Rattus norvegicus: one gene and its partners. The protein of the gene in region 5 interacts with the protein of the main gene of each other region in a pairwise test. Links are inferred from orthologs where the notes say so. Each region holds a gene or a part of one and is shown on either strand. Other genes may lie near its edges. The genes, in order: Cebpg, Tnfsf12, Fosl2, Dbp, Ddit3, Hsd17b14 and Batf.

Region 1 (4,174 bases), on a different chromosome or scaffold from region 5:
GAGTAAAACTTTCTTCAAATGCAAATTTATTAACTAAAGTAATAATGTTCATTCAAAAGAATAAAACAATGAAACTCTGGAATGTTAGAATAGTAAAATAGAACTTGTCTAAATTTTTACTTGGAACAATAAACCTGTACAGAACTTCCCTAGCTTGTCACTTTTTTCCATAAACCTAGATAGAACCATGTATCCCTCCATTAGCCCCCCAAAATCAAATCTTCACTCAATTTCCTTAATGAAGGTTGAGTCTTCAGGTTTACAAACAAAAATATCCCACATCTCTTGTCGTTCCTAATGCCACAGAAATTACCTCAGGTTGACATCATCTCCCAGGAGCCCTAGCCTCTGGTGTAGCAGCCTGAGCTCCCTCCAAGCACCCACTATCTAGATTATCTAGAGCAATAGTTAACCTTCTTGATGTTTTGACCCTTTAATACAGGTTCTTCATGCTGTGGCAACCCCCAGCCATAGTTATTTTCGTTGCTACTACATAGCTGTAATTTTGCTATGGTTATGAATCATGATATAAATATCTGTTTTCGGATGGTCTTAGGTGACCCCTATAAAAGGATCAGTCATTTGACCTCAAAGAGTTTGGTACCTGCAAGTCAAGCAGTCTTCCATTCAAACCTAACAATGTCACATCTTGCTACTAAAAATCAATGTCTGTGACTACAGGATCAAAGCCAAGATCCTAACCCTCTCTACAAGTTCTGCTCCCTAAAGCATTCTAAATGGTCTCTGTTTTCTCTTTGTGCCTTTTGTTCAATCTGCTCCCCCAGTCTCTTTGGCAATCCCAGCTCCCTGGAGACTGTAGGAGGCAGAGTCCATGAAGGAGAGGAGACTCCTTCAAGGAGTTCAGTGTAAGTGGTCCACTGGAGTTGTGAAGAAAACATAAGCTTGTTTGGATGTTATCCTTTACATCTATTTATAGTACTATTTAGCACATTCAAAAATACATTGTTTATAACTATATTTATTAGGAGTTCCTGTTCACTTTTTTCCCTCTCTTTAATGGCAGGGCACAGCAATGGACTAGAGAGAGGACCAATAAACTTGCTAGTGTAAGAACCTATGCAACCACCCCTCTGAGGGAAACCTAAAATTGCTACAGTACTCATTATTGTGACTGTGGCAACTGTCAACCAGGTCCTGTGTGTCTTCCCATGATCTCAGAAGGGAATGCTCCCAGGGACTTTCCTAGGGAGCATTTAATTCGCTAGGGATGAAAGGACCTCTCCAAGATCACAGAGCTGGCTGGCAATCATGACGTGGTGTGAGAATTTAAAGGATATTGGGGGAGGGGGAGGGAAGTCTGCTCCCACCTATTTGTTTCTGATAGGTCATAAAAATAACTGAGTCAGTCGGGCATGCCCATCGGACTCAGGAAACAGACTCAAGTATTTCTTCAGCTCAGTAGCGTCCTGCCATTATCTACAGTTTTTCAGGAACAGGTAAGAACCGCAGGGATAGCTTATTAATACTACTCAAATGACAACAGCTGAACGGACCTTAGAGCGCTCTGAAGGCTAGGGATGCGGCTCAGAGGTAGAGTGGCTTGCCTACCATGCTCTGAATTCTTCTATGTTGAATTTCTCAGTAAAGACGGGGTGCTTTATTTCAAAATTTCCTCTGTGAGACAGGTATGCATTCAATGATAATATATTCAAGTAAGGATTCAAGCGGGTGGAAACTCCAGAGACACAGGCCCCAGCTGTTGTGCAACTCACAAAGGTTAAAACCTTTCTAAATTTGATACATCTTATGAGGCGGCTTACAAAGAAACAAACAAAATACAACAAAGAGCAGAGCAAATCTAAGCATGCCAGCCTTCTTAAGACCAGAAATACACAAGCGCACTTAGAAAGAGAAACAATCCTCACGCACGCCGCCCAACTTCTCCACCTGTATTCGTCTGCTGGCTCTTTTCCCGAGTTCCCTCCAGGCGAGCTAAGGAAAGGCTTCATGGCTTGACCTTCTGCGTCTAGTGAACCGGTGCGCTATCTAGGATGTCCTTCCCCTCCCAATGAACTACAAGACACGCGGCCGCGTCCCAAAAAACAAACGAAATCTCCCTCTTGCAGCGCTAAGTGTTTAAAAAATCAAGTGCCTTCCCTAGATGACCACTAGGTTATTAACTCCAAATAGGACCCGGGCCCTCCTCCCCCAGACCGAGCCGTTTGGGAAGCGACAGAAGAGTCCTAGGTGGCTCCAAAGTAAGATTCGGTCCATCTTCTATTCTAGAAACACTCTCCATTCCCAGGGGCCAATGCGCGCCAGGCTTGTCACGCTGCACGTCGCCGGGGAGCAGGTTCTGGAGGGGCCACCTGGTACTCCATCCCTTCCCCGACTGTGGTGAGGGGGCGCCTGGGGGAGCGCGGGGGTCGGCGCCCTGCGCGGCGGCGCTGGGCCGCGGCCAGGGATGAGCTCAGCCCCGCCGGGTGTTGCCCGCAGGTTGCATCAGACGCCGCTCCCGGTCCCCGCCCGCGCCGCCAAGCCGCCGGGGGCCTTCCGGGCCAACCTGCTGAATCCGGCAGGGCCGGGTCTCCTCGAGCCCGGCCGGTGCCTACGCGAGCGGCGGGCTCCGCTGCGGCCTCCTCCCCCAACCCCTCCGAGCTAGAACCCGCGGCCTCCTTACCTGCGCCTCCGGCCGGCCCGCCCGCCCCCAGACGGCCTCCACTCCGAGCGGCCCCGCGCGGCGCGGTCCGACCCTACCCAGGCCTCGCAGCCTGCGAGTCGGCGAGGAGGAGCGACGGTTACGAAACCGGCAGCCTCCGCCCGTTCCGCCACCGCGGCCACCGGCTTTCCCCTCCTCTTCGGGTCCGCGCGCTGCCGCCGCAGCCGTGACCAATAGAAGCGCTGCTCGGAGAACGACGCGCTCGCTTCTCAAGACCGGCAGCTCCACCAGCCAATCACAGCCAGGGTGGCAGCAAGAGGCGGACTTACGGCGGAGCGGGCGTGGTGGGCGTGGTAGCACCGGCGCTGGCTGGAGGCGCGCTCCGCGGTTTCCCCCTTAGGCTGTCCGTGGTGGCGGGCGGCGGCCCTGAGCGATGGGAGTGACCGGTAGCGAGAAAAGTTCTGTCATAGTAATGAGAGTCTCACCTGCCTTAGGGAAATGGCATTTCCTCGGGTGGATTTTTGAGTTAGTGATTTTGATTTTTTTTGTTTTGTTTAGGCCTCGCGGCCCTAGGGCGTCTGCAAACTTCATTTTGACAAAAGCACGTTAAGGAAAAACTGTCCAGTGCTAGGGTTAGCACTTGTCACACTCTTGAGAACAGTAGACTGTGGCTCTCAGACAAATCACGATTTCCAAAGTGTGCTCGTCTCTGTGAGAGCGGATGATGGACCTGAGGTGCTGTCTTAAAAGTGACAAGCAGTCCAGCCTGGTTCTCCCAAACAGTTCACAAAAGAATCAAAAAGCTGGTTTTGTTGGGTTTTGTTTGTTTGTTTGTTTGTTTTTGTTTTTTGAAGTACAGGAAGCAGCGTGCTGGGTGGAGGGCAGAGCCTGAGAGATAGGTTTGATTGCTTCCTCTTTAGCAATGCTTATCATTCAAAACTCACTGGCTTTCAAAAAGAAATGTTTCTTCATCCGCGCCAAGGCCAGGAGAGCAGCTCTCCACTTAAGACTTCCAGGAATCCCTGAGAGATGAGAATACCTACAAAAAAAGAAAAAAACAAAAAAAACAAAAAAACAAAAAACAAAAAACAAAAAACAGGCAAACACAGAGAATGACTCCTGATAACCCTATGCACATTTGGGGAGCTGTCTCAAAACCAGTATGTTTCTTTAGGTTTGGATCGCTGTGTTAAGAGCCATTTTTTTTTTCATGACTCTTAGCACTATCAAAGATGAACTGTGCTTTGTTTCTCACAAAATAATCATGATCTTATCCCTAATATTTTCTAATCATATAAAAACTATAGAAAATAAAAATATCCTTGTATGTCATATGTACATTGAGGTAGACTCTCTTTTTGCCAGCTACCCTCCCTGACAGCTGCATTCTGTGTTGGTTCTTGGCAAGCCTCCCACAGCCAGCAGTCAATGCCCAGGGGTCTTGAGATTTCCTCTTTAATTGATAGCCTGTGATTCTTTTGCTGTTTACAAACATGGACCAGCTATGTGGTGTGGACTAGGAGTCAGCAATGAAGAAGACGAACTTGCTGTCCC
Region 2 (3,399 bases), on a different chromosome or scaffold from region 5:
TCATGGACTCAGAGTTCCATGCCTACTACTTCCTTTTCCTTCCTTCCTTCCTCCCTCCCTCCCTCCCTCTCTCTCTCTCTCTCTCTCTCTCTCTCTCTCTCTCTCTCTCTCTCTCTTTCTTGTTTGTTTTGAGACAGGGTGTTTCTGTGTAGCCCTGGCTGCTTTGGAACTTGCTCTGTAGACCAGGCTGGCCTTGAACTCAGAGATCTATCTGTTTCTGACTCCCAAGTGCTGGGGTCAAAGGCATGTATCACCATGCCTGGCTTTCTTTCCAGTTTTCAACTACACTAGTTCTAGGGATTTCTTCTTGTGTGTGTTGTGGTGACAGAATTTAGAGTCCTAGGCGTACTAGCTAAGCACTTTACCACTGAGCTGCACGCCCAGCCCTTTCCCCGGTACAGCTCTGGTAATAGCTCTATTAAGACAGATTTCACATTCCATGCAGTCTGCCCGCCTGTGCAACTCTGTGCTCTTAGTCTGCCGTGACTAAAGTACACTCTAAAGTACAAGCCGTTAATCACCACAAAATATGGCTCTCACCTTTAATCCCAGCATTAGGAGGCAGAGGCAGGTGGAGGTCAGTCTCTGTGAGTTAGAGACTAGCTTGGTCAATATAGTGGACAATCAGAACAGCTAAGACTACAGAGAGAGATCCTATCACAAACAAAACCCCACAAGGCCAAGCCTCATAAAGTGGCACACACCCATAATCTCAGCACTTGCAAGGTAGCATAAGGAATCCAAGTTCATCCTCAACTGCACAGCAAGTTTAAGGCTAGCCTGAGCTACGTGAGACTGTGCCAAAAATAATAGTAATAAAAAGAGAAGAAGAAGCCATGTATCCTTTAGCCATCACACCATAGTCCCATCAGGGCTAGCCTTGGGCAATCACCTGCCCACTTGCTGTCTCTATAAACTACTTTTCCAGGCAGTTCCTGTGCTTGGGAGACTATGGCGCATGGTTCTTTCACTTAGCACAGTATGTTTAAGGCTTGTCCACCTGGTGGCAAGAAACTTCTTTATTCCTTTTATAGCAGAGTGAGGCCCAGTAGATAGGACTGCAGTGTTTGCTCATCTGTTCATTTGCTGATGGGCACTAAATGTTACTTTGTTTTGTTTTGTGACCAGCGTTCTCTGTGTATTCTTGGCTCTTCTGGAACTTGCTCTAAGACCAAGCTGGCCTCAGACTCACAGAGATCTGCTTGCCTCTGCCTCCCAAGTGCTGGGATTAGAGGCGTACACCATTGATGCTACGTATATTCCTATTTGTATAGGAAGTTTTAAACTCATAGCCAGTGAGCCTGTGGCCCGTCACTCATTTTTTTTTTAAATTTATTTATTTATTTTTATGTATGAGTACACTGTTGCTGTCTTCAGACACACCAGAAGAGGGCATTGGATCCTATTAAGATGGTTGTGAGCCACCATGTGGTTGCTGGGAATTGAACTCAGAACCTCTGGAAGAACAGTCAGTGCTTTTAACCTCTGAGCCATCTCTCCAGCCCCCGTCACTCATTTTTAATCGACTCAAATGATGTACACACAAACATGCACATGCATCTTATATGTTCAAGACACAAACCATGTTGATGAGATAGATGTGAAAACCCCAGCCTCTCTCTTACAGCACTGCTCTTCTATCCCCTCAGAAGCCCTGAAGTGCCCTGGTCATATACATTAGGTCTCCTCACACAATACCTTCTAGTCACTTCTTGTACCATAATGGCATGGCTCCACCTATACTCTGGGCCACTGATACCCTTCGGGGTAGGTTGTACCTCACAAATATGTAAACTTGATGGATTCTTAGGGAGTGTGGGGGAGTCTGGTAAAGGGCTTCTACTTATCCCTACACATCCCCTATCCAGGTGTGGATGGGACAGTGAGTGGCTGGGAAGAGACCAAAATCAACAGCTCCAGCCCTCTGCGCTATGACCGCCAGATTGGGGAATTTACGGTCATCAGGGCTGGGCTCTACTACCTGTACTGTCAGGTAAGCCCTGGGCTCCATGGGTAGAGCGATGGCTAAGGGGAGGAAGGCTTGGCAAGGAATGGGTGGGAGTGGGAGAACCTGGGTTTCATGAAGGAAGATGCCTGGATTTCGATGAGGGCAGGCAGAGGTCTGGATTTTGCTGGTTTCTCTCTGCTCCAGGTGCACTTTGATGAGGGGAAGGCAGTCTACCTGAAGCTGGACTTGCTGGTGAATGGTGTGCTGGCCCTGCGCTGCCTGGAAGAATTCTCAGCCACAGCAGCGAGCTCTCCTGGGCCCCAGCTCCGTCTGTGCCAGGTGTCTGGGCTGTTGCCTCTGCGGCCAGGGTCTTCCCTTCGGATCCGTACCCTCCCCTGGGCTCATCTTAAGGCTGCCCCCTTCCTTACCTACTTTGGACTCTTTCAAGTTCACTGAGGGGTCCTGCTCTCCCAGGTTCTTTAAACTTTAACCTAACAGCTCCCAGAGCACCACAGCACCTCCCCACCCCACGCCCACTCCTCCACCCTCTAGCTGTTCCTTGCTCCAGTCCTGTCCTCTCTTCCAAGGCAGCCAGGGCTTGATGACATGTTTTCCATTCCACAGACATATTCCCGTTCTTCTGTAACCTCCCACCCCACCACAGCTGCCCGCCTCACGAGCTCCCAAAGCCCCCACGTACCCGACTACCCCGCCCCAACCCTGGGACCCTGTTTTTACTGACTATGTGCATCAGGCATCAAGATAGGCTGGACCTGGTGGCAGGAAGCCAAAGAACCTGGGACTAGGCCAGAAGTTCCCAAATGTGAGGGGAAAGAGATGGAGACAAGCTCCTCCCTGGATCCCTGTGGATTTTGAAAAGATACTATTTTTATTATTATTGTGACAAAATGTTAAATGGATATTAAAGAGAATAAATCATGATTTCTCTTCTTTGGGGTTCAGTGTAACTGAAGGTTGTGGGAAGGGAATCTTAGGCTTTGGGGAATGGGGACCTGCAAGCCTCCAAGCTGCAGTTTTGAATAGAAATCACAAAGATACCAGAAAAAAAAAAACCATGCAAACAACAACAAAACCACCTGGTCCTCTGCACAAGGCGCTGCAGAAGCAGCCTCATTTTCCTAGCAGCGGACTTCCTCCTGCAGGGGAATCCCTGGCTGGGAGGAGCAGGGTCCTTCCTCTTGGCGGCCTCAGGACATTCAGCAGTTGAGCAGGTGCTGGCACGGGCCTGGCTAGGAGATGGAATGGAGCTAGCCCGGGAAGGGGCTCAGAGCCATAGGAAGGGCTCTGGTGGGCCAGCCGTATGGGTGTGGGGAGGAGTGCTGCGCTGACTGAGGGGCTTGGGGCTTTTTTCTTTTCTCTTTGTCCAGAGAACCTTATGTAAGAACTCTTCTTGGGAAACAGGAAGTCCGGCTTGCCAAGTTCAGCACAGG
Region 3 (4,210 bases), on a different chromosome or scaffold from region 5:
GTTTTGTTTTGTTTTTCATTTGAAGGGGGCCTGGCTGAAGAAAACAAGTTATGAAATGACCTATGTTTGTGTAACTGGCTGGATTGCGTAATGCCAGGGCCCTGAAACCGTAACAGCCAAGGAGCAAGGCACAGCATATATCTGGAGGTGTTGTCCCAGGGAAAAAAAAGAAAATCACAACAATGAAGCAAACTCCAGGAGCGGGAGGGACATCCAGCTATCTCCAAGAAAATGGAACTGCCGGCGATTAACCTTTGAGATTGAGATTACAGCTACAGCAGGAAATATTTTTCATGTTCCGAGTTCCTGCCATGTACACCAGGCAGAGGTCTTAACAAAGCTGTCTGCTTCCCAAGACCTTATGAAGTTAGACAGAGAGGGGAAGTGGCGGGCAGCAAACATATCGGGGACACAGGACCCCACAAACAAGGAGAACAGGGAAAACCAGGAACATCTCACAATGATTGGTCTACAGTGCTACCATAAAGGAGGAAGGCCCAGTCACTAACTGCCAGGAAATCTTCCCGGTCCCCGAGAAGGCGGCTGGGAGCAGAGTTGATTTCAGACTTAATCTGGCATGTAATAAAGTTACCTTGAACCCAGATCAGGGTGCGTCGTAGCTCGGAGTTGGGAAGTAAGAAAAGCAGACGCCTATCATTGGGACCACAGAACTGTTTTTGCAGAAAGTCAGAGCAGGGAAGAGAAAGCCCTCCTCCCCTTCCCCATCTCCCACCCACTACATGGGCAAGGAGCAGAGAGGCCAGGCTGAGAGTTGGCTGAAGTGGCCAATGCCTCTGGTTTGAAAGACTTTTTGCTCCTGCCGCTGAGCAGAATGGGCAGCCGGACCTGAGAATCCCATGCACTGGTTGTTGCTAATTGCAAAATCCTCATGTGTTACAGCATGCTAGGAATTAGCCAACAGCTGCTTTTTGCTTGGGTAATGAGGCCCCATTACACACGGCTGGACGGAGCTCTCTTCCTTCATCCGAGCATCGGTTTCCTGTCTGATTTGCTTCCAAAACAGGGAATTGCCTCTGCTTACATCCTGGGCTCAAAGCCCTAGTGACACAGATTATTCAGTAGGGGCACTGATGTCCGGTCTGACTTCATCCAGGCCAGGAGATTGTACTATGTCAGTCAGTGCTCACTGCCTTGGTCTCATTAGTGGAAGAAACAGAAGAAATTCCAGGCTCCTACGATGATTGGGAAGGAGAGGTACCTGGGGTAGGGTTATTGGATTGGAAAGTAGGGGAACAACAGGTATAAATGACTCTAAATCCATTGGTGAATGATGTTTGGATTCAGCCCAAAACACCAACTGCACAGGGACACAAATATAAGCAACTACTTTTGAGATGTGATTTTGTGCTCAGTGGTAAGGGTTCATTGACTGCACCCTCAACGCTTAGACCAGGCTATCCACAGGGGGTGCTTAATAGGTATGGGGGAGGGCGGGTAGAGAGAACACACAGAAAAGCCATTTGTAAGGACTCTTCAGACATGGGACATTACTTTGAGAGATGCCTTTCTCATCAGATTACAAAGAAACCCATATTTCTATATTTCTCAGCTCAGTTCACCCCTCCCTGGAAGACCCCTGACCTCTAAAGGTCAAAGTCAAGGCCATAGCCATTGGCTTATGGAGTAACTCATGCTGCAGCCAGCTTGTCTAGGAACTCCCAATGCTGGCTGAGGTGGGCTTCAGGTGGCAGGGAACCTTGTGTGTGCATGCAATTCCCTCGCAAGTTCTTGTATGCGGTTCCTGCTACACAAGTCAGATACCCCACGGCCCCCCACCGCCCCACCAGTACCTACAGAGACATAGATTACAGGCAAGATCCCTCAGTGCAAACCAGTCTGGCTGCTTTAGAAAAAGAGTTGTTTTTCTACTTCTAAAACCACTCAGGAGCCCAAGTGATGTCTCTCTCTCCCACTTCTCTCTGACAGCTTCTTTGCCCCAGTACCCCCAAGCCCCTCAAGGATCTGCTCCGGGGGAAATACAGGCTCCTGCCCAACCCTTACCGGAAGCTGGAGGGGGGGTATCACAGAAGGTGTCAAGAGCCAATCAAAGCCAGCTTCTTCCTTACTGACCTTCGCACCTAATTCCCAGAGGCAACCCTCGTCCTCACTCCCAATCACTTGAAGGAGCCCAGCCTTGTTTCTGAGCCCCCAAGCCTTTTCAGAAAACAGCTAAGATCGAAGAATAACAGAAGAAAGAAGGGTTAAAAAGCCTTCCCCCGCAGGGTCCTTTCGGTTGGGAGGGGCTTAGAGGGTGCAAAGATTTTCTTGCCTATCCACTACCTAGAAAGAGGAAGGTGAAAAGGAAGGCAGAGCGGCTCGGAAGGAGGCAACAGGCTTCCCGGAGGGGACCTGCAGTATCATGAGCTTTTCTGGAAAATTAAGTAAGAAAAGGGGGAGAGGGTGTCGTTGGCTCTCCAAGCCCACTCTCCGCTTGTTTAAAAAAAGTGGAGGGGAGGGGCGGAACAGAACAAAACCCCACAACTTACAGCGGTGACCCCTAAGTATTTTTCTAGCTTAGCGAGGAAAGGGAAAAGACGGAGGTTGGGGGTGGAGGCACTGGGAGCGAGAAGAGGGAGTCTGCCCGCGCCGCCAGGTGCACCCCGGCCCGCACGTACCTGCTGGCCGCCGCCACCGCTGGAGTAGGACTCGGCGTGCGCAGGAGAGCCACTGCTGCCCCGGGACGAGGTGTCAAAGTTCCCGGGATAATCCTGGTACATGATCCGCGGTGGGGGCCGGAGAGGAAACAGGGTGGTTTTCTTCCCCGCCCTCGCCGCGGCCGCGCACAGTTTGCTGCGCGCTCGCTGGTCCACCGGCCCGGCCGCGGACTGGGCTTTTCGCTCCCGGGCTGTCCACCCAACCCAGGCAGACAGGAGGCAGCGACACTCGGGAAATGACCCCCCGATCGCCGCGCACCGCACTTCGTTTCTGCTCTGCAAGCTCCGCGGAACCGGTTGTCCACCGGGTCCCTCCCTCTAAAAAGTCGGCGCGTCCCTCGGTCCCTCCCCTGCGCGCGCCCTTCCGCCCCCGCGCGCAGCCCGAGCTCTGCCCGGACCTACGGGTTGGAGAAAAATGGGCAACGCAAAAAAGACTAGGAGCTCTGCGGGTGTCGCTTGGCAGCTCTGGGGGACTCCCTCTCCGATCTCCCAGGGCGCCAAAAGGGCGAAAAAGAAAAGCTGCCGGTTGGGAGAAACTTCTGTTTCCTCCTTTTAGAAAAGGAGCCCAAGAATAAACTTCCTGTGGCCAACTCGCCGCCTGAGTTTCCCGGCGACTCGGACACTTGACTTAGGACAAGGCGATGAGCGCCGGTCCAGCGGCCCCGATCGCGCCGGTGGGACAGCGCCCGTGGGGTTCCAGGCTGAGCGGTGCTGAGAGGGACGTGGCTCCGCGTCGCAGTGACCTGCACCCGGTGCCTGCTCTGGGACCGGCCAGTCTCACGCGTCTCGCCTCGCTTCGCCCTCCCCTCTCTCTCCCCCTCTTTCTTGCGCGCTCTCTCTCTCTGTCCCTGCCGAGCGCCGCTCGCTGTCTCTCTCCGAGCCCCTGCGCTCTGCCCGAGATGAGTCACTACAATGGCACGAGTTCAACTCCACACTCTTTATTCTCCAGCCCCGCACCATGTGGATCCACTCACGTCAACTGTAGACTCCACCTTGCTGGGAGGAGCGCTCGAGGCGGCGGGGGAGGAGGCCCGGGACAAGGAGGAGGAGGAAGAGGAGCGGGAGGGGAGGAGGCGGGCGCGGCGCTCCCCTCCCGGCCCTGCTCGCGGTCGCGCTGACGCCAGCCGCACACCCCGCGCAAGGAAGGCGGGCGGCGGGGAGGGTGGGAGCGGGCGGCCCCCGCACTACGGGGGCGCCGAAGCCGCCCGCGTTCTTGCAGATCTCCTCCACCCCCCTGGGGCGCAGCGCCCTTGGTCTGTTCCATTGGCGCACGTTGCCAAAGATGGTCATTTGCGTTAGAGGACGCGAGTGCGGGTTTCCTCGCATTCGGGTGACGTGGAGGGAGAGGGATTCCCTCGCCTGCTCCTGAGTGCGCTCTGGCCTCCCTACCTCCCCCCCCAACCTCCACCCCAAAAGGAAGGGGCGCGGGGCGGGGCCCCGAAAGCGGCCGCGCGGGCCTGGGCTCTGGGTTTTAGAAAAAAAAAAAAAAAATCGCAGCCTGAAGACCAGACGGGCGGCTCAGTGCGGCGCCACCG
Region 4 (4,083 bases), on a different chromosome or scaffold from region 5:
GTGTGACATGCCCCTCGTACTTTCTCACCTCTCAGTATGAAACAGTAGTGCAGCCCACCCCTCTTCGCAGCTTAGTGCTAAGGCCTGACACCCTCTGATTTCCTTGTGGTACAATTACATACTGGTCCATGCCCTCTGCAATATTGTCACTTTCCAAGATGGTACGGTCCAAGTCACCTGCTTACAAATGGTATGACCCTACTTAAGGGCTATAGTCTTGACAACTATCCCCTTTCTGAGAATCAGTGTGGTACAATCCCTCTGTCTTCCTGAAGGTGGTTGTGCCCTGGGGAAATCTGTTGGCCTCTTGTCTGGTTTCTCAACATGGTACGGCTCAAATGACCATATCCCCTTCCTGTATTACTACCCTTATGCAAACCAGCCTAATCTGCACGTCCCACGTGGCCTTCTTCCCTCTCTATATGGTCCGGTCCAGGAGCTGACCATTTTCACCAACTTGGTATATTCCATTCCCCCTTAGCAGCCTGACTGTAGTACAGCCCTATGCGCTCAACTCCCACACCCCTCAAGCCGGTGCTTTCTTTTGCAGTGGATGGTGGTCCTCATGGTCGCTGAGACTCCCCAACGAGGATTACGCCCGCCTGTTCTGAGTTTCCTCACCAGGGGAGGGGAATTCACCCCAAAACAAAGCTATTAAAGGGACTGAATGTTTCCAGTTTCTCGGTGGTTTGATTATCAGCTGCGATTGAGAAATATCTAGATATTAAAAAATAATCCTTCCCGAAGCCCAGGTCTTTCTGCCTTAACCTGCTCTAATTGGTGTTAAGCTTTTTTCCTCAAACAATGAGTCTGTGAACACGCGGCTCCTTTAAGGGGCACCCCTCTTGCCCAACACCCGCATCCGGTAGCACGCGCAGAGCCATGTGCTTCCCCCTTCTTCCTGTCTCATTGGCTCGAAGTGGGTCACGGTCCCGCCTCCAGCGCCTCATCCCATTGGCCATATGTAGGTCAGTGTCCCGCCTTCTTCCAAAGGCGAGGCAATTCCACAAGTTCAGCCCCTCACGCGCCTCCAGGGCCTTGGCAGATCCCTTAATTTCATTGGCTGAGCGTCTCAAGGGCTCGAGAAACGATTGGCTTTTGCTAGCAGCCGGAGGGAGGCACGCGGCTGGGGTGCATGGCCCAAGAGAAGGGAGGGGGCCCGGAGGAGGGGCGCGCGCTCTGGCGTCGGGTGTTTTGGTTTGGATTTTTTTTTTTTCCGCGAAAGAAGTTTGCTTTGGCCACGCCTCAAGGCTGCCGCCTCCTCCTGCCCCCTCCTCCGTCCCTGGGTGCACACCTCTGGGTGCAGATTGCAAAGCTCCTTTCTTTGCGAGAAGTGCAAAATTGGCTAGAGCCAGAGTCTCGCCCACCTGGTACAGAAGGAGCGCGCGCCTGTGTCCCTTGGGGACCCACAGTTGCAAAGAGACAGCTGCTTGATTTGGTCACCCACTCGCCCAGACTATAGGAGCCTCCCGGGACACTCTTGAGTTGCACCTTTCTGCAGAGCAGACTGTTTGAGCCCCCGCAGTGCTCGTAGGATTTGAAGCGTTCTGATACTGGAGGCTTGCTCGCCGCGCTCGCCCGACTCTGGGACACATTCGTCCGAGCCACAGGAGTGTGCGGGTGACTGACATATCATCTCTTCGACTCTCCATGAGCTCATGAACCTGGGAGCAGGTGCCCGGAAATGGCGCGGCCTCTGAGCGACAGGACCCCGGGCCCCCTGCTGCTGGGTGGCCCGGCTGGGGCCCCCCCTGGCGGGGGAGCGCTGCTTGGGCTGAGGAGCCTTCTGCAGGGAAACAGCAAGCCCAAAGAACCGGCCAGCTGTGAGTTCTAGTCCCACTGTGTTAGAGACTCTACTGTTGGGGTGGTGGTATACGGCACCTATCAGCTAGGTGTCCCATCTTTGCTAGTCTTTATTTGGTCACTTAGATCTTCCAGTCCCTCAGGGTCCAGGACCAAATATGACGCTTGGAGGGCCTAAGAGTCAAGTCCCGGAGTGTTCCTCCATGAGGACAGAGTTTAGGTGCCAGACCCCTCTTTCTTCCCTTTGGCCTCCGAATCTGGACCCCTGGAGTCCTAGGGGAAGGGAGGGGGTGTGTCGGATGCTCACACGGTGCAGACACGGGCTTGGGCGGGGCCTCACAGGGTCACATGGAAAGTAAGGGTGAGGAATGTGCCTGAGCAATGGAGCCCCTTCCAGCGCTAACAGATTGTGGGGGAGGGGATGAGGATACTGGGGGTGGGGGAATTACTGAGCTGTCACTTTTTTTCTCTCTCACCTGCCCAACCTTTCACCCACCTTGTCACTAAACCCTTCTTTCTAAACTTCCATCCTCGCTCTCTGGGTCGCTTTCTTGTATCCCTTAATCCCCTCCCGGGTCTCTAACCCTATCCTTCTGTATACTTTTGTATTTTACCCCTCTCTGGGTCCCCGTCTTCCTGACCGTCTCTATTGCTGGGGCCTTCTTCCTCTTCTCTCTCTGGGTCTCCCCAAGCCCCATCTTCATCCCTGTCTTCTTTTTCTGTGTTTTCTCCCTGCCTGTACCCGCCTCCCTGGGTCTTTACCCTACGTCTCCCGTCTCACTTCTCTGTATCTCCGCCATATCTCTGACTTGGGGTCCCTCCTGTGTCCCTCCACCCCATCCGGTCTCTCCCTGGCCTACAGGTCTCCTGAAGGAAAAGGAGCGCAAGGCAACTCTGCCCTCAGCCCCCGTCCCGGGACCCGTCCTGGAAACGGCGGGCCCAGCGGATGCCCCAACTGGGGCGGTTAGTGGCGGTGGGTCCCCTCGGGGGCGCTCAGGGCCTGTGGCTGGCCCGAGTCTTTTTGCGCCGCTGCTGTGGGAACGCACTTTGCCTTTCGGGGACGTGGAATACGTGGACCTGGACGCCTTCTTGCTGGAGCACGGGCTACCGCCGAGCCCGCCGCCCCCCGGGGGCCTGTCGCCGGCACCCTCTCCAGCGCGCACTCCCGCGCCCTCCCCCGGGCCCGGCTCTTGCAGCTCCTCTTCCCCCCGCTCCTCGCCCGGGCACGCCCCCGCGCGGGCCACTCTGGGAGCCGCCGGCGGCCACCGCGCAGGTGCGGCGAAGGGGCGGGGCTGGCGGGCAGGGAGGGGCCTCGCGACACTTTTGGAAGTCTGCCCAATGAGATGCTGCGATCCTTTAGGGGACTTGGGTCCCCAAATGCGAGAGGATTATTCAGTGAGAGGATATATTTTTCTCTAATACAAAAGTTTCCTCATTTTCCTGGAGCCAAGACTAGAAACTCAGAACACCTTAGTTAACTGGAAAGTACTAACTCCAGAGTCTGGGTCCAGAATTTTGGGAAACCAGATAGGACTGGACTTCAAGGACACCTAAAATGGGAGCGAGCAGGCCAGAGCGGGGTACTAGGTTCCCGGATTCTGCCCCCCACCCCCAAGTGGAGGGTGTTGCATCCTGCCTCCCAGAGTCTTGCAGCAGAGAATGTCGGGATCCCGATTCTGGATTCTCCAGAGGAGCTCCCCATATTCCTGCGTTGGGGACCTAGGATCTCAGAACTGTGGGAATCTGGATGGCCAAGAGCTTGACAGGCCGGTTCTACCACGATCCGCCCCCCCCCCCCCAATAGCGCGGGGTGGGTGGGTAGAATCATTGTAGCTGTTGGAGCTGAGACCAAAAGGAACAAGAAGGGAGGCGATCCCTATCAAGACAAGGAGTCTCGATGTGGGACGCCTGGGTACACCTGTCCCTGATCCGACCTCCAGGCAAAACCAGTGCTGCACATTCCCTCGCCACGTGAGTCCTCCCTCCTTACTGCGCGCACGCGCTCTCACGCGCGAGGAGGCGGGGGCCCGGGAACGTGCGGGTGCTTGGTGGGGAGGAGGGGAAAGGGGAAGCTGTAGGCCACACGTGACGCGGCCCTGAACTGGTGTCCTCGGCTGGCCCTGTCTTTTTTGTTCTTAAAGACACAGGAGTCAACCTTTTTTAGCCAAGCTCCTGGAACCTCCATCACTCTTAGCAGTGAGTCTAACAAGTCTAAGCTCAGAGCAAGGATTCAGTAAGTAGGACTCAGACAAGGCAGTGGGAACAAAAATAACGCTGAAT
Region 5 (4,071 bases):
AAGGAGCAGTCTGGCCAAGGACCTGTCACTGTCGCACCATCCAATAGCAACCGGTCTTGGTTCAGTTTCTACTTAGACAAACTCTGGCTTGCCCCTCCCGAGTGTACGACAGACTATGTAATAGGCCACCACATGGCCTCTGTTTTCATGGCACAAAAAATAGGTTTTGCAAGATGTTTTTACTTTTACTCAAGTTTTCTTCACAGTGCTGTTTTTACCTTTACCTATCATTCTTTAATTTACAACTGAGTACGGTAGATTCCTTGGGCAAATTAAACTAGAATGACCCAGTCCAGGCAATCATGCGCTCAAGTGCATGCACGTCCCAGTCTCTAGGTCGTGAACCCAGACACCTAGAGGCATGAGGCCAGCTAATCAGCAGGGAGTCACAGGACTTGCTATCTTGGAGAAGGAAAAGGGTGGGTATTGGGCTTAGTGAAGGGCATAAGAGCATCACACAAAGCAGGGGTAGGATAAGTAGGCAGGAGGCTACACTCTACAAAGAACTTGAATTCTGGCACGCAGTGGACGATTCTGAAACAAACGTTAAAGCTGCCCTTCTGAGAGAAGCGGATGGACTACCAAGGAAATGCCAGTACCTCAGTCTTTGGGAAGCGTTAGAAGGCTAAAAGAGGAGGAGGTCTCTTAAAAGACTCCAGAAGATGTCAATCCAGGTGAACAAATTGGAAACTTTAAAGAGGTTCAAGAGCCTCGGTGCCCATTAGTTGGGAGGGGCCAGGGAAAATGAGTCTTTTATGGAGGAGTAAGTTAAAGGTGATGGGAGGTGGGCAGACAAGTTCAGGAAGGACAGCCGTTGGGGCCGTTGGACACTGTGAGCTGGCGCTCCGCCTTCTTTCCTCTCTCCCCCATCCCCCCCTCCCGCCCGCTCCCCAGCACCTCCCACCACCATCGACGTCTCCTGCGCGTGCGCGCGCGGACACCGGTTGCCAAACATTGCATCATCCCCGCTCCCCCTCCGCCCCCCCCACGTCATCCCCTCCCTCGCCGCACTCTCCTCCGCGCGCGCGCATGACTCACTCACCTCCTCTGCGAAGCCTCGTGACCCAAAGCCACTTCCGGGTCCGAGATAACGTAGACTCTCGAGCCAGAGGGCGCGATGGAGGCGGGGCCACGGGACTCCTGAGTGGCGGACGTGAGGGGTGAGGCGGAGCCTGTGCCAGCGTGCCGCTTTCTGATTGGTAGGCTCCTGGACACTACCCCCCCCCAGGAGGGACCGAATAGCATAAAAGATACTCGCTCTCCGCTCCAGAGGTCAGTATCTTGAGTCTAATACGTCGATCATACCATGTTGAAGATGAGCGGGTGGCAGCGACAGAGCCAAAATAACAGCCGGAACCTGAGGAGAGAGGCGAGTACTGACTCCGTCTACCCCTTACTTTCCCATCCTCGCCAACATAGCTATTCCACAAAGTTAGAGGCAACTGTCCTTGAGGGTGTAGCCCCACCCCTTCCACTGTGAGTTTGTAGACTGAGGGGCGAGTGAAGGCGGGTAATTCCTGATTCGGGAATGGTGCTTACAGGCCACCTCTTTGGGCGATTGCATTCCCGTTCCCTTGTCTCAGGTTGGTCCCTGCTCTGCAAAGGGACTCCGGTTGCCTTCGGAAATTTGTCTCAGTACTGACCATTTGCGGGCCATCTTAGGCCTAGGCGGTTCGCAGGAAAGGTGGGGCAACAGGACACACCCCCCAATGTTGGGGACTCCGGCTGTTAGCACCTCTTCTCCACCAGCCTCATTCCCCCCAACTCTTTCAAGCTGAAGCGCCTCAGGGACCACCAACATGGCCACTTTAGTAGCTGTCTCTAACGTTCAAGACAACTCAAAGACTGACAGATCTTTGCGAGTGGGGGTGCCGGTGGGAGGAGCATAGATGGGTTTTTCCCTTTTCCCCAGAGGTTTCTGGGTTTCCGTACAAGAGAGCAGCCTGGGTCTCTTTAACTATGGGAAATTACTTGGGATCTCTCCAGGGTCTTCTGCTTCTCTTAGGACTGATCTCTGCTTCTTTCCTCAGTCCTGTCTCCCAACTAATCTCTGTAACCGTTGCATCAGGCCAGCCCACTGTTTGTCTCTGCACCCTCAGGCCTGGGGCTCCTCTGCTGATGAAAGCCAGGTCCCACACACTGGAAGACCAAGGAGTTTTCCCTAGAGGACAACCCTGCAGAGAAACACTCAGGGCAATATTGCGTCTGCAGTCCCCAGAGACAGGCAGCTCAGCTCTGCCTTTGGGCTCAGTGGGCTTAGTTGTTCTCTATTCGTTCCTAACAAATGCCTAATAAGCACCCACTATGTGCCAAGCATTTGGGGATCCAGGGTATATTAGAAGCAAAAGACGAAACTGTTCTCAATAAAACTTACATTTCAATGTAAAGCAAAAGGGGGGAAAAACAGAAGCAGGGAAAAAATAGTTCAGGATGGTGGCTAGAGGTTTTATCATTCAGGAATTGCCTCAGTGGGTGGGTGAGATGGAAAGAAGGCAAGCCTGTGAGCCAAGCAGGTAATGTGGAAGAGGTTTATAGAAGGGAGAGAAGGAGCAGAAGGGTTGAGATGAGTGTGCCAGTATCCTTAGGAGCAGGGCAGTGAGCTGGACTAGAGTAAGCAGGAGAGGGTGGTGAATGGAAACTCAAGTAGCAGGTCCTGTAGAGCCTTGCAAGCATTCTCAGGATGCTAGTCTTTCAACAGTCCTGAAACAGGAATCCATTGGGGGATCTGAGCAGAGGAATGTCCTAAATTAAAAGGGTTGGGGAAAGACCCCATGCATTTAATTCCAACACTCAAAGAGGTAGGAGCAGGCAGAGCTCTGAGCTCCAGGCCAGCATAGTCAGATCCTAACTCAAAATAAATACAAAAACAAAGGGTTGAGTGTGTAGCTCAATAGTAGACTGCTTGCCTAGTATGTAGAGGGCCCTAGGTCAACCCGCAGCCATGAAAATAAAAAAGACAAGAATAGAAACAGGAGATCTTAGCTGGAAATAATGGCAAATGCCTTTAACCCCAGCACTTGAAAGGTAGGTAGATCAGAGTTCAAAGCCAGCTAGTCTACAAAGTAAGTTCCAGGACAGCAAAAGCTACACAGCAAGACCCTGTCTAAAAAAAAAAAAAAAAAAAAAAAAAAAAAGATTTCAAGGCTTCCAAAAATAATCTAGGGAATGAAATGCATAATGCATGGTAAGTTTACATCTGGAAATAATGAGAAAAAGTGAGAAATATTTAGGTTTTGGGTACTTCTAAAGAATATTGAAGTTGCCAGTGCTTTAGACTGAGCTGTGGTATCTGAGAAGGGAGGAATTAAGGATACCAAATGTTTGGCTTTAGGCACCTATAGTTGCCATTTAGTAAGAACTGTACCCCCTTGGTAGGAAAGGCCTTTTGTGTAAGCTGAATGCCTGCTCAACAACCAAAAGAGATGGAGATCCCAGGGCAGGTCTGGAGGCTAGGATGGGAATGGAGTTTAAGCAAATACTGCTGAAATCTCTCTTCCCTGTATTTTAGTTCTCACTTTGGCAGATCTGAGGTCTATCTGGATTTAGAGAAAACTTAGTTGGCCAGGACTTTGCTATTATGTAATCAGGACTACAAATGTCAGCAACTAAAAATAAAGTTAAGCATGCCTGTCCTTGGCTTCAGGGACACACACACACACACACACACACACACACACACACACACACACACACACGAGCCTCTCTGTGGCCTGGTCTACAGAGTTGAGTTCCAGAATTCCAGGATGCCCCGGGCTTCACAGAGAAACTGTCTCAAAATCCAATGACAGAAATTAAGAAACCAGCTAGAGAAAGACCAGTAAGAGGCTAGAGGTAAAGGACCTGTTTCTTCCCCTTTCTCCACAGTGTTCCAGAAGGAAGTGCATCTTCATACACCACCACACCTGAAAGCAGGTAATCTTAGCCACCCTCCCAGTCAGCTCCTAATGCTGCTCAACTTGCTTTGCTGGGATGAGAGTTAGACCAGGCCTTGACCAGAACCAGCTTTTGCTGTCAGACCATGTCTTTCTCTGATCCCATAATGTTGTTTTAGAGCTGGCTTGTCTCAAAGTC
Region 6 (4,259 bases), on a different chromosome or scaffold from region 5:
GGTTTAGAGCATGGCTGCTGGTCCAGAGAACTAGGTTCAACTCCCAGCACCCACATGGTGGCTCAGAACTGCCTGTAACTCCAGTTGCAGGGGATCCAACTCCTTCTGGTCTCTGTGGGCACCAGTCATGCAAGGGGAGAACAGACATACATGCAAGTGTAAACACACACACACACACACACACACACACATGTGCGCGCACGCGGGAGGCAGAGGGCTATGTGTCCTGAGGAAGGGGTAAACTGAGGTTCAGAGGAAGGATTGGGCTGTTGAAATGGCTCAACTGTACCTTTACACTTGTGCCAAGCCTGATAACCTGAACTCAATCCCACATGGCCGAAGGAGAGAACTGATTCCCTCTTGTTGCACTGAACACCAGAGAAGTACTTACTGTGCATGAGAGTGCGAGTGCTTGTGCAAGCACACGCTTACACACATGCACATCGATAGACAGATAGATAATAGATAGACAGATAGATAAATAATAGATAGATAATAGATAGATAGATAGATAGATAGATAGATAGATAGATAGGGCAATAATTTTTAAGAGAGGAATGGGGAAGAGGGTATAAGTAGATGTCAGGGACACTGGCCTCCAAACCACACAACTTACGGTAGCCGGCATTATTCACCACACAATCCAGGTGACCAAATCGAGAGACAGTCTCAGAAATCAGAGTCTGAGGAGAGAAGAAAGAGCAGGTGATGAGCTGAGAGGTGACAGCCTTGGAAAAGCCAGGAGGCCCAAGGCAAGGATGGGCTCAGCTAAGGAAGACAGGGTAGGGTGAGGTGGAAGGGGACCAGGGCCACAGAATAGGTCTAGAAAGAGAGGAGGATGCAGGAAGTCGAGGACCCAGACTAAAAGGACTGATCCACACAGCACAGTTGCCACTTGTCACAGCGTTCCTATTGCTGTGATAAGCACCATGACCAAAAGCAACCTGGAGAGGAGATGATTAATGTCTGCCTACAGCTCCCAGGTCATATCTATCACTGAGGGAAGCCAGGACAGGGACTCAGAGCAGAAGCTCAAGGCTGGGACTGAAGCAGAGGCTGTGGACGAACACTGTTCGCTGGCTTGTTCCCATGCCTCGTCCAGCCCCTTTTCTTAGACTATCCAGGACCACCTGCCCTGCAATGTCACAACCCCCAGGGAGCTGGGGAAACTCCCACATCAACCACTAATTAATTAAGTGACCAACAGGCTTGCCCACATGCCAATTTGGTGGGGCCATTTTCTAGTGAGATTCCCTCTTCCCAATGACTCTAGCTTGTGTCCAGTCGATTTAACACTAACCAGCACACCATTTTAGAAGACTTCGGAGGGGTGTGTGTGCAGAAGACAGAGCCTCAGAAGGAGAGTCTACAGACCCGAGTGCAGTGGGGAGCAGAGAGACAAAGAAAGACAGAGGCCCAGATAGGAGCTAGACCTGGAAACACATAAGAGATTCTGAGTGCCAGGAAGTCAGAAACTTGTTACAGGAGCCAAGAGTTCAAGTCCTGATCATTCCTAAAGACCTGAGAGAGAAGAGGGCAGAAGGACGGAGGTGACAAGGGCATGGATACCCAGAGGGACTGGCGATGGAGTGTGGGACAGAAAACACTGACCTGTAAATCTCCTTCCTGAGTCACGTCACCGGGGATGAAGACAGTGCCCAAGAGTTCCTGCTCCACAGCCCGGCCCCCAGCCTCTGCAAGAGAAAGATTCTGGGTCCGAGGGAGGAGGCTTAGGAATGTGGGTCTGAGGGAGGAGAGCTATGCAGAGATCATTGATGAGGCAAGGGAGAGATGAACACTGATTCACTCACCATCCTTGTCACAGAAAACCACTTGAGCCCCACTGTCCACTGCCAACAGAAAGAGAACGATGTTACCTGCCCTGCAGACTTGCGTCACTGCCTCTGCTGCCCTCTTGTGGCCACCAGAGCACCTGCCTCTCTGGCGGCTCTCGTGATTGTCTCTCTCACAAGATTGTCTCCACTCACAAGAGCAACAAATTACCCTTCCTCATTAAGCCACTGCTTGGCCCCCATCCTGGATTCTAGAAAAATCCAAAACCTACAAACAATAAAACACACAAAGCTATCATTTGCAGCTAGGGACCCATCTGGGGAAGAACTTTTTTTTTTTTTTTTTTTTTTTTTTGGATTTTTGAGATAGAGTTGCTCTGTGTAGCCCTGGCTGTCCTGGAACTCACTCTCCTGGCTGGCCTCAAACTCAGAGATCCACCTGCCTCTGCCTCCCAAGTGCTGGGATTGTAGGCATATACCACCACTGCCAGGCCAGTGGAAGAACTTTTAATGACCGACCTATCAACAAAGACCCAACAATCCAAATGGATTCATGTAAGAATGAAACGGAGGGACCAGAGAAATGGCTCAGCGGTTAAGAGCACTGGCTGCTTTTCCAAAGGACACAGGTTCAGTTCCCACCGTCCACATGGCAGCTCACAACTGTTTATAACTCCGGTTAGGAGGGATCTGACAACCTCACCCAGGTACAACGACAACGCACAGAGAAAATTAAAAACAAACAAATCATTAAAGAAATGAACCTGAGTCTCCTCCTCCCACTGTGGGAGCCTCTGCCAGCCGCTCTTTCTCTCCTACAATTCAGGCAGCAGGCGGGAAGACCCTTACTCACCGAAGGCTCTCACGATCGCAGCCCCGATGCCCCGACTGCCCCCAGTCACCACCACCACCTTCCCAGAATATCGGCCTACTGCAGCCATTCCCAGCTATCTCGCTCGTGTCCCACACCCTCTGGGCCTCTTCCCACCTTTAAAGTCCAGAGAAGCGGGGGAGTGGAACCAGATATACAGGCTGGGTCACTGAAGGCTGACCCTGGCAGGGGGAGTTCCCAGGAAGGCACACCTAGGAGAACTGAGGACTCTCCTTCCTAGCCCTCTTTCTCAGACCCAGGGTCCCCACCCGTGATGATCCTCCTTCAGACCCAGGGATCCCCATCCTGACACTCCTCTTCCAGGCTCAGGGACCCCCACCCCAGCTCTGCCCCCTCAGACTGACTCTAGCCCTGCTCCCTTTGACTTGTAAGACCAGCACCACTTCTGCCTTGACTCAGGATCCAGACTCCAACCTCCTCCCTCAGACCCATATTTTAAGATGTAGCCCCCCAATGTCCTGTGAATCCAAGGCCCTGACGCTTGTTTGTCAGAACACAATGTCACAACCACAGAGAGAATAAAGCTATTTATTGACTAGTTCAAAGTTTTAATCCAAGTTCGGACAGTGTTGGGATAATCAATCTTTGACCATCATAGCCCCGGCCCTCCTAGAACACAGGCTGAAATGAACCTCTCCCCTGTGGTCCTGAATGGTCCCACACCTCAAGGTTGTGCTTCCAGCCTTTAGCACCCAGTGCAAAGGCAGGAGTCAAAAGCTGGACTGCAGCAGAGTGACTCTCAGGGGCCATGCCCCCTCTTCCTGGGCCAGAGCTGGAGGGGCCTTCCCAGGGTCCCACCTGGGCTCCCACGGAGCCAGGCCTCTCCCACTCCCTTGGCATGAGAACCCTGTGGTAGCCGAGTTAGCCTTGTGAGAAGTTGGGGACGAGGTGACCTGGGGCAGCTCTTCACTGGGAGGCTGTGGACTTGGCTGGAGACAGTCTCCCCTGGTGTCCAAATTTCTCTCTGGAGAGGCTAAACGGAGAATGAGAAAAGTGTTAACTTAAACGTGTAAAGTCCAAACTTCCAGGCCTCCTTCCTCAGATGCGGGGGTTCAGAGCCTGGGCACCTCACCTGTCATCAGCCTGTGCCACTGGGAAGCCTCTGTAGCAAGAGCTTGGGAGAGGCTGAGCACTCGTTCCCGGTGGCCTCCAGACACGGGTGAGTAGGTTGTGGAGTGCCTAGGACTACAGAAAATAAGCCACGTGTCAAACAGGCCACCGAGGCTCCCGGGGAGTTCTTCCTAGCTTTTATCTAGAGGACGTTAAGCACAGGCTTTGTTACCAGTAGACCAGCAGGGAGGTCACCATTACTGGATGAACAGCTGGATCTGATTCAGGCCACAAGAGCTCTGCAGTCTCTGACCCACCACCAGGGGCTTCCTGGCTTTTTTGTAGTTACCTCGGGAACTCAAGGGACTCAGAAGTTCTGGGGACTTGTTTGGTACACAGGAAACTATAATAACACCACTGCTCCCCTGTCTGCATCAAGAATTGACCCCCCCACCCCATTGCAGCTCCCACTCTAGATCCATACCTACTCCATGACCCGGAACTCCTGAGCCATTTCGCAGCTC
Region 7 (4,115 bases), on a different chromosome or scaffold from region 5:
TAAGTTTGTCCTTAGAACCATATTGCTGTCAGGCGGAATTTCAGTCAGTGGATACTAAAACTTTAATTAGTGGATAATAAAATGCTTTAGGAGCTATAACATATTGTCAGTCCTCAGGTTAAACAAGGAACATTTGAGCCATACTGAGAATGTAGTGAGAGCTTTTATCTTAATATGTGTGAGTGTTTGGCCTGCACATCGAATGTGTGCCTGGTACCTGAGGAGGCAGGAAGAGGGAGAAGGGTCCCCTGGAACTGGAGAGACAGATGGTTGTGAGCCACTGTGTGGATGCTGGGGACAGAACCGATATCCTCTGAAGGAGCAGCCAGCACTACTAACTGCTGAACATCTTTCCAGGGCCCAGACTTTTTTTTTTTAATTAGCCAAAAGACCCAGATGAAAATAGGATTGTTCACTAAAATCACAAGCATGTTCCTGTCATGGGACACATGGCAAGCACGACCATCTCCACAGGCAGCATGCTTCACAGGGTGGGGGACATTGCTATTCCAATTGTCACCCTCTCGTTGCAGTAACTGAGAGATAGTAGGCAGGTGTGGGGTATGGGTGAGGGTGGGAAGTAGGAATAGGGGTCGGGTGGGCTCTCATCATGGCCGATCTCACTCCAAGTCCAGAGCCTCCGTCACTCATTTTGACATTTTCTCCTCGTTGGGTTCTGACCTCATTGACTCCTGAATACTCAAGGTCAACCTTGAACTCTTGAAAGAGCCTCTCCACAGAAGGTATCTTTTCTCTAGAGAGAATGGGAGTGTCCTGCTAAGTAGACGGGGGATAAATAGTAAACTTCTCTAGCGTCCATTCGAGACTCAGTAGCTCCAACTATCTGTTTGGCCGGCTGTAAAAGGGAGTGCCCTCCTTGCTTTTGTCCCCAGACCACCGCACAGTCCTGTAGGTGAATGAGGAAAGTCAGCCTAAATCAGGGTGGGCAGCGGCTTCGGGTGAAACCCAGAAACGGTTCCCAGGCTCCTTACTGTTATTTAAGTTTTAAAATCAAGGCCTGTGACCTGGAGGCTCTTTCCTGCCGCTCTCTGCCATGTTGACAGCAGAGAACTTGCTAATTCTGGCTGGGGATTTTCCCTAACTGGCTGTTTTTCCTCCTTTACCTTCATCGAATGAAGAGCACTAGCTCTGCTCTCAAACTGCCGGAAGATACTGGGGGTTTGTGTATCTTTTTTTTTCTTTCACCTACTTCTATGGTCTTTTCCCAGATGTGTATTTTCTAGCTACCTTCTTACTTGTTGACGTTTCCGCCCATGTGACTTCCAGCTTGAATTACCAGAAACCACAAGAGAGGGCCTGTGCGCAAGCCCCAAAGTGAGCGAGATGTCCCTGTGGGGAGCAGTCCCTCTGCACCCCAGAGAGAGGAGGACGCAGGGGTCTATCGGAGATAGCTGCAGGACGAGCAGGGGAGGCACCTGTGGAAGGTGGTACGCTGCTGGCCCCCTGGCAGTCAAGAAGGGGAGCTTGCTAGTGAGAAGATCGCCCAGAGGCATCTGGGACAGTGTGGGAGAGTCCGGAAGATTACAACCATGCCTCACAGCTCCGACAGCAGCGACTCCAGCTTCAGCCGCTCTCCTCCCCCCGGCAAGCAGGTATTACTCCCCCACGTCCCCCATGCGCTGTCTTCTGATTTTCCCGGGGTGGTAGAAAAGGGGCAGTCTACTCTCAGCTCAGGGAGCTCTGGCCGGGGAAGGAAGTAGCTCGTGGCAAGAGCTTTCTAGCGGACTCTGGACTTGTGGTGTTTGCTATACAGAGGTTCAAGTGGTGAAGCCTTCGCATCCTGCCACAAAAGTCCCCCTTTCCAAGCGGTACCCCTCATCTCTGCCACTTAGGTTCCCACCTTGAAACTTTCTAGGAAGCTGGGGGCAGGGTGACTATCACAGAGCCTAGAAGTATGGTCAACCGTAAGCAGAGGGATGTTCCAGTAGATCGCTGCCGTGAGCTCCACCCAAATCCTAGAACTTTCCAGAAAGAGCCAAGCGGCAAGACAGGACCGAAGTCAGGAAGAAAGAATAGAGTAAACCAAAGCGAGGAAGACAGGAAAAGAGCGGCAAGATCTGCCCGCAGACTGCCTCTGTAACTAGAGCAGCCAGTGGGGAGGGAGGCTAAAGCTACAACTTGTATCTGTTTCCCCCTGTGGCTTCCAGATAGAAGAAAGAAGCCCATGGACCAGAAGACGCGCTGGAGACCTTCACCAGTAGCTCATATCGGTTACTGAAAATCCGGGGATGGAGGGAAAGATTCTGAGACTCTTACACTCTTGATTGATACCAAGTCTCAGTTTGAGAGATGCCTCTGTTGGGATGCCCGTCCCACCTTGCACTTTCTGGGTCTCTCTTCCACATTCTTGATACTTCTTGCCCTAGAAATTTCTCCTCTTCATCCAGCCTAGACCCATGGATTAAACTTTGTTTTACACCTCAGCTTAAAAACTACATTCTTTCTTTAGCACACATATCGGGAGGGGCTATAGCTCGGAGGTAGAGTGCTAGCCTTACACACATCCAGGGAGCTGCAGAATGCTACAAATAAAATAACTGTATATACTATCTGACCACCTGCTTTCACATCTGTCACAAGCCCCTCACCAAAAGCCATACTGGTGAAGACCTCAAGAAGGAGACAGTCAGTCTCTCGCTCACAGTAGTATCAGGGCAACCCAGGCTGCCTGGAAGATGGTACCCTAGTCTTCTTAAGAAGGAAATTACTTACAGCTGCCATGGTAACCTAGTCCCTTGGCGAATTATATAGAAAGAGTGCATCCTTGCTCTCTCTAACTCAATGTCGGCCTGCTAGAATGACCTGGAAAGTTTGAGTAAAGAGGGAAGGCAGTCAGAGCCTGACCCAAGGATCTTTGCCTCTCAGACCAGTGGAGGTGACAGGGTAGGGGATGCAGAAGGGCTTCTCTTCCCTCATCTTCAAAGGATATACTTAGAGAGCACCCAAAGAGTATTGTGTCCTCCAAGGCACCTATTGGTGGCCCAAAAAGCAGGTGACCTGCACTTCATAAATTGATTTTTTGGTACCTCATTTGTAGTAAGCATCATGTTAAGAACTAGGGAGATCTCAAGATGGTTGTACAAGGAACGAATGAATAAAAGAAAGAGAGGTGCCTTCTGCCTAAGGGTGTATCACAGTGAAATTAATAGTCAGGAGGGAATTCTCAGATGGGATTTAGAAACAGCACCAGAACATGTCATACCCCTGGATGGCATGAGCTCAGTCTGTTCTGTGTAAAACAGAAAAGATGGCAGCCGCTCAGGGAGCTGGGGGATTGTATCGCAGTGCCTCTGAAAGCGCCCGTACAGAAGTCGGCACATGGCAGATGCTCAGCAAAGTTTCCAAAGAAAATAGCAAAAGGAACATCAAGAAGATCCTAGTGCATGCACACATGTGTGCATATACACACACACACACACCTCACATGCACACACATATACACACATGTACACACACTCACACCCCCCCCCCACACACACAGAGTAAGGCTAAAGCAGGTCTGGAGAGAGTAGAAGTGATTGGGGTAGACCTTGTTGTCTTAACTGGTGTTCCCCAAAGCAGCACTTCTGAGGCCTCAGTTTCTCTTCACCTTCCAGTAGCTTTTGGTCAAAAGAAGGCCACGGGAGACCCAAGGGCGGGTAGCAGGGAAAGCTGAAGAAAATGTCTTTGGATGGTACAGAAAGAACTGAGGACTAGGAAGGCAGGCAGGCAGGCAGGCAGGCAGGCAGGCAGGCAGGAAGGAAGGAAGGAAGGAAGGAAGGAAGGAAGGAAGGAAGGAAGGAGTTTTGACTAGAAGAGGAATGATCGGACCTACCCTTGTTACCTCTGCTTCCTAGGACTCATCCGATGATGTGAGGAAAGTTCAGAGGAGAGAGAAGAACCGCATTGCTGCCCAGAAGAGCCGACAGAGACAGACACAGAAGGCCGACACCCTTCACCTGGTGAGTACCCACACTTCCTACCACACTCCTACCCTTAGGTTCTGTTTCCCTCACCGGCAGGGCCGTGGGGCCCAGCTTTGATGAGTCTGCTGTCGTGGGGAGAGTAAAGAGGGCAAGGGCTGCATGGGGTCGGGTGTGGGGAAAGGCTTCCCT

The links.
Region 1: the proteins of Ddit3 (region 5) and Cebpg interact in binary tests that used the Homo sapiens proteins (3 or more experiments, as listed by UniProt). The link is inferred for Rattus norvegicus from reciprocal best matches to the Homo sapiens genes DDIT3 and CEBPG.
Region 2: the proteins of Ddit3 (region 5) and Tnfsf12 interact in binary tests that used the Homo sapiens proteins (3 or more experiments, as listed by UniProt). The two-hybrid records come from large-scale screens. The link is inferred for Rattus norvegicus from reciprocal best matches to the Homo sapiens genes DDIT3 and TNFSF12.
Region 3: the proteins of Ddit3 (region 5) and Fosl2 interact in binary tests that used the Homo sapiens proteins (3 or more experiments, as listed by UniProt). The two-hybrid records come from large-scale screens. The link is inferred for Rattus norvegicus from reciprocal best matches to the Homo sapiens genes DDIT3 and FOSL2.
Region 4: the proteins of Ddit3 (region 5) and Dbp interact in binary tests that used the Homo sapiens proteins (3 or more experiments, as listed by UniProt). The link is inferred for Rattus norvegicus from reciprocal best matches to the Homo sapiens genes DDIT3 and DBP.
Region 6: the proteins of Ddit3 (region 5) and Hsd17b14 interact in binary tests that used the Homo sapiens proteins (3 or more experiments, as listed by UniProt). The two-hybrid records come from large-scale screens. The link is inferred for Rattus norvegicus from reciprocal best matches to the Homo sapiens genes DDIT3 and HSD17B14.
Region 7: the proteins of Ddit3 (region 5) and Batf interact in binary tests that used the Homo sapiens proteins (3 or more experiments, as listed by UniProt). The link is inferred for Rattus norvegicus from reciprocal best matches to the Homo sapiens genes DDIT3 and BATF.

What each region holds. Positions count from the first base shown.
Region 1 is NC_086019.1:96,826,937-96,831,110, forward strand, and holds the start of Cebpg (CCAAT/enhancer-binding protein gamma), read right to left. Parts: upstream 2,801-4,174; 5' UTR 2,642-2,800; intron 2,609-2,641; exon of another isoform or gene 1,909-2,608; intron 1-1,908. UniProt on the Homo sapiens protein: Transcription factor that binds to the promoter and the enhancer regions of target genes. Binds to the enhancer element PRE-I (positive regulatory element-I) of the IL-4 gene. Binds to the promoter and the enhancer of the immunoglobulin heavy chain.
Region 2 is NC_086028.1:54,902,116-54,905,514, reverse strand, and holds the end of Tnfsf12 (tumor necrosis factor ligand superfamily member 12), read left to right. Parts: intron 1-1,868; coding exon 1,869-1,993; intron 1,994-2,152; coding exon 2,153-2,404; 3' UTR 2,405-2,899; downstream 2,900-3,399. UniProt on the Homo sapiens protein: Binds to FN14 and possibly also to TNRFSF12/APO3. Weak inducer of apoptosis in some cell types. Mediates NF-kappa-B activation. Promotes angiogenesis and the proliferation of endothelial cells. Also involved in induction of inflammatory cytokines.
Region 3 is NC_086024.1:30,036,470-30,040,679, forward strand, and holds the start of Fosl2 (fos-related antigen 2), read right to left. Parts: upstream 2,801-4,210; 5' UTR 2,739-2,800; coding exon 2,637-2,738; intron 1-2,636.
Region 4 is NC_086019.1:105,310,973-105,315,055, forward strand, and holds the start of Dbp (D site-binding protein), read left to right. Parts: upstream 1-1,283; 5' UTR 1,284-1,684; coding exon 1,685-1,823; intron 1,824-2,665; coding exon 2,666-3,076; intron 3,077-3,096; exon of another isoform or gene 3,097-3,774; intron 3,775-3,892; exon of another isoform or gene 3,893-4,036; intron 4,037-4,083. Other genes in the region: Car11 (carbonic anhydrase-related protein 11), read left to right, coding at 551-576. UniProt on the Homo sapiens protein: This transcriptional activator recognizes and binds to the sequence 5'-RTTAYGTAAY-3' found in the promoter of genes such as albumin, CYP2A4 and CYP2A5. It is not essential for circadian rhythm generation, but modulates important clock output genes.
Region 5 is NC_086025.1:65,000,424-65,004,494, forward strand, and holds the start of Ddit3 (DNA damage-inducible transcript 3 protein), read left to right. Parts: upstream 1-1,271; 5' UTR 1,272-1,306; coding exon of another isoform or gene 1,307-1,369; intron 1,370-3,864; coding exon of another isoform or gene 3,865-3,906; 5' UTR 3,907-3,912; intron 3,913-4,071. Other genes in the region: uncharacterized LOC128125814 homolog, read left to right, coding at 1,307-1,369, 3,865-3,906. UniProt on the Homo sapiens protein: Multifunctional transcription factor in endoplasmic reticulum (ER) stress response. Plays an essential role in the response to a wide variety of cell stresses and induces cell cycle arrest and apoptosis in response to ER stress.
Region 6 is NC_086019.1:105,164,236-105,168,494, reverse strand, and holds the start of Hsd17b14 (17-beta-hydroxysteroid dehydrogenase 14), read right to left. Parts: upstream 2,801-4,259; 5' UTR 2,735-2,800; coding exon 2,647-2,734; exon of another isoform or gene 1,851-2,646; coding exon 1,812-1,850; intron 1,695-1,811; coding exon 1,612-1,694; intron 684-1,611; coding exon 617-683; intron 1-616. Other genes in the region: Plekha4 (pleckstrin homology domain-containing family A member 4), read right to left, coding at 3,396-3,658, 3,758-3,870, 4,220-4,259. UniProt on the Homo sapiens protein: Catalyzes the NAD(+)-dependent oxidation of L-fucose, yielding L-fucono-1,5-lactone, which rapidly converts spontaneously to L-fucone-1,4-lactone. Can also act on D-arabinose and L-galactose, with lower catalytic efficiency. Does not use NADPH.
Region 7 is NC_086024.1:111,083,402-111,087,516, forward strand, and holds the start of Batf (basic leucine zipper transcriptional factor ATF-like), read left to right. Parts: upstream 1-1,315; 5' UTR 1,316-1,550; coding exon 1,551-1,613; intron 1,614-3,857; coding exon 3,858-3,962; intron 3,963-4,115. UniProt on the Homo sapiens protein: AP-1 family transcription factor that controls the differentiation of lineage-specific cells in the immune system: specifically mediates the differentiation of T-helper 17 cells (Th17), follicular T-helper cells (TfH), CD8(+) dendritic cells and class-switch recombination (CSR) in B-cells.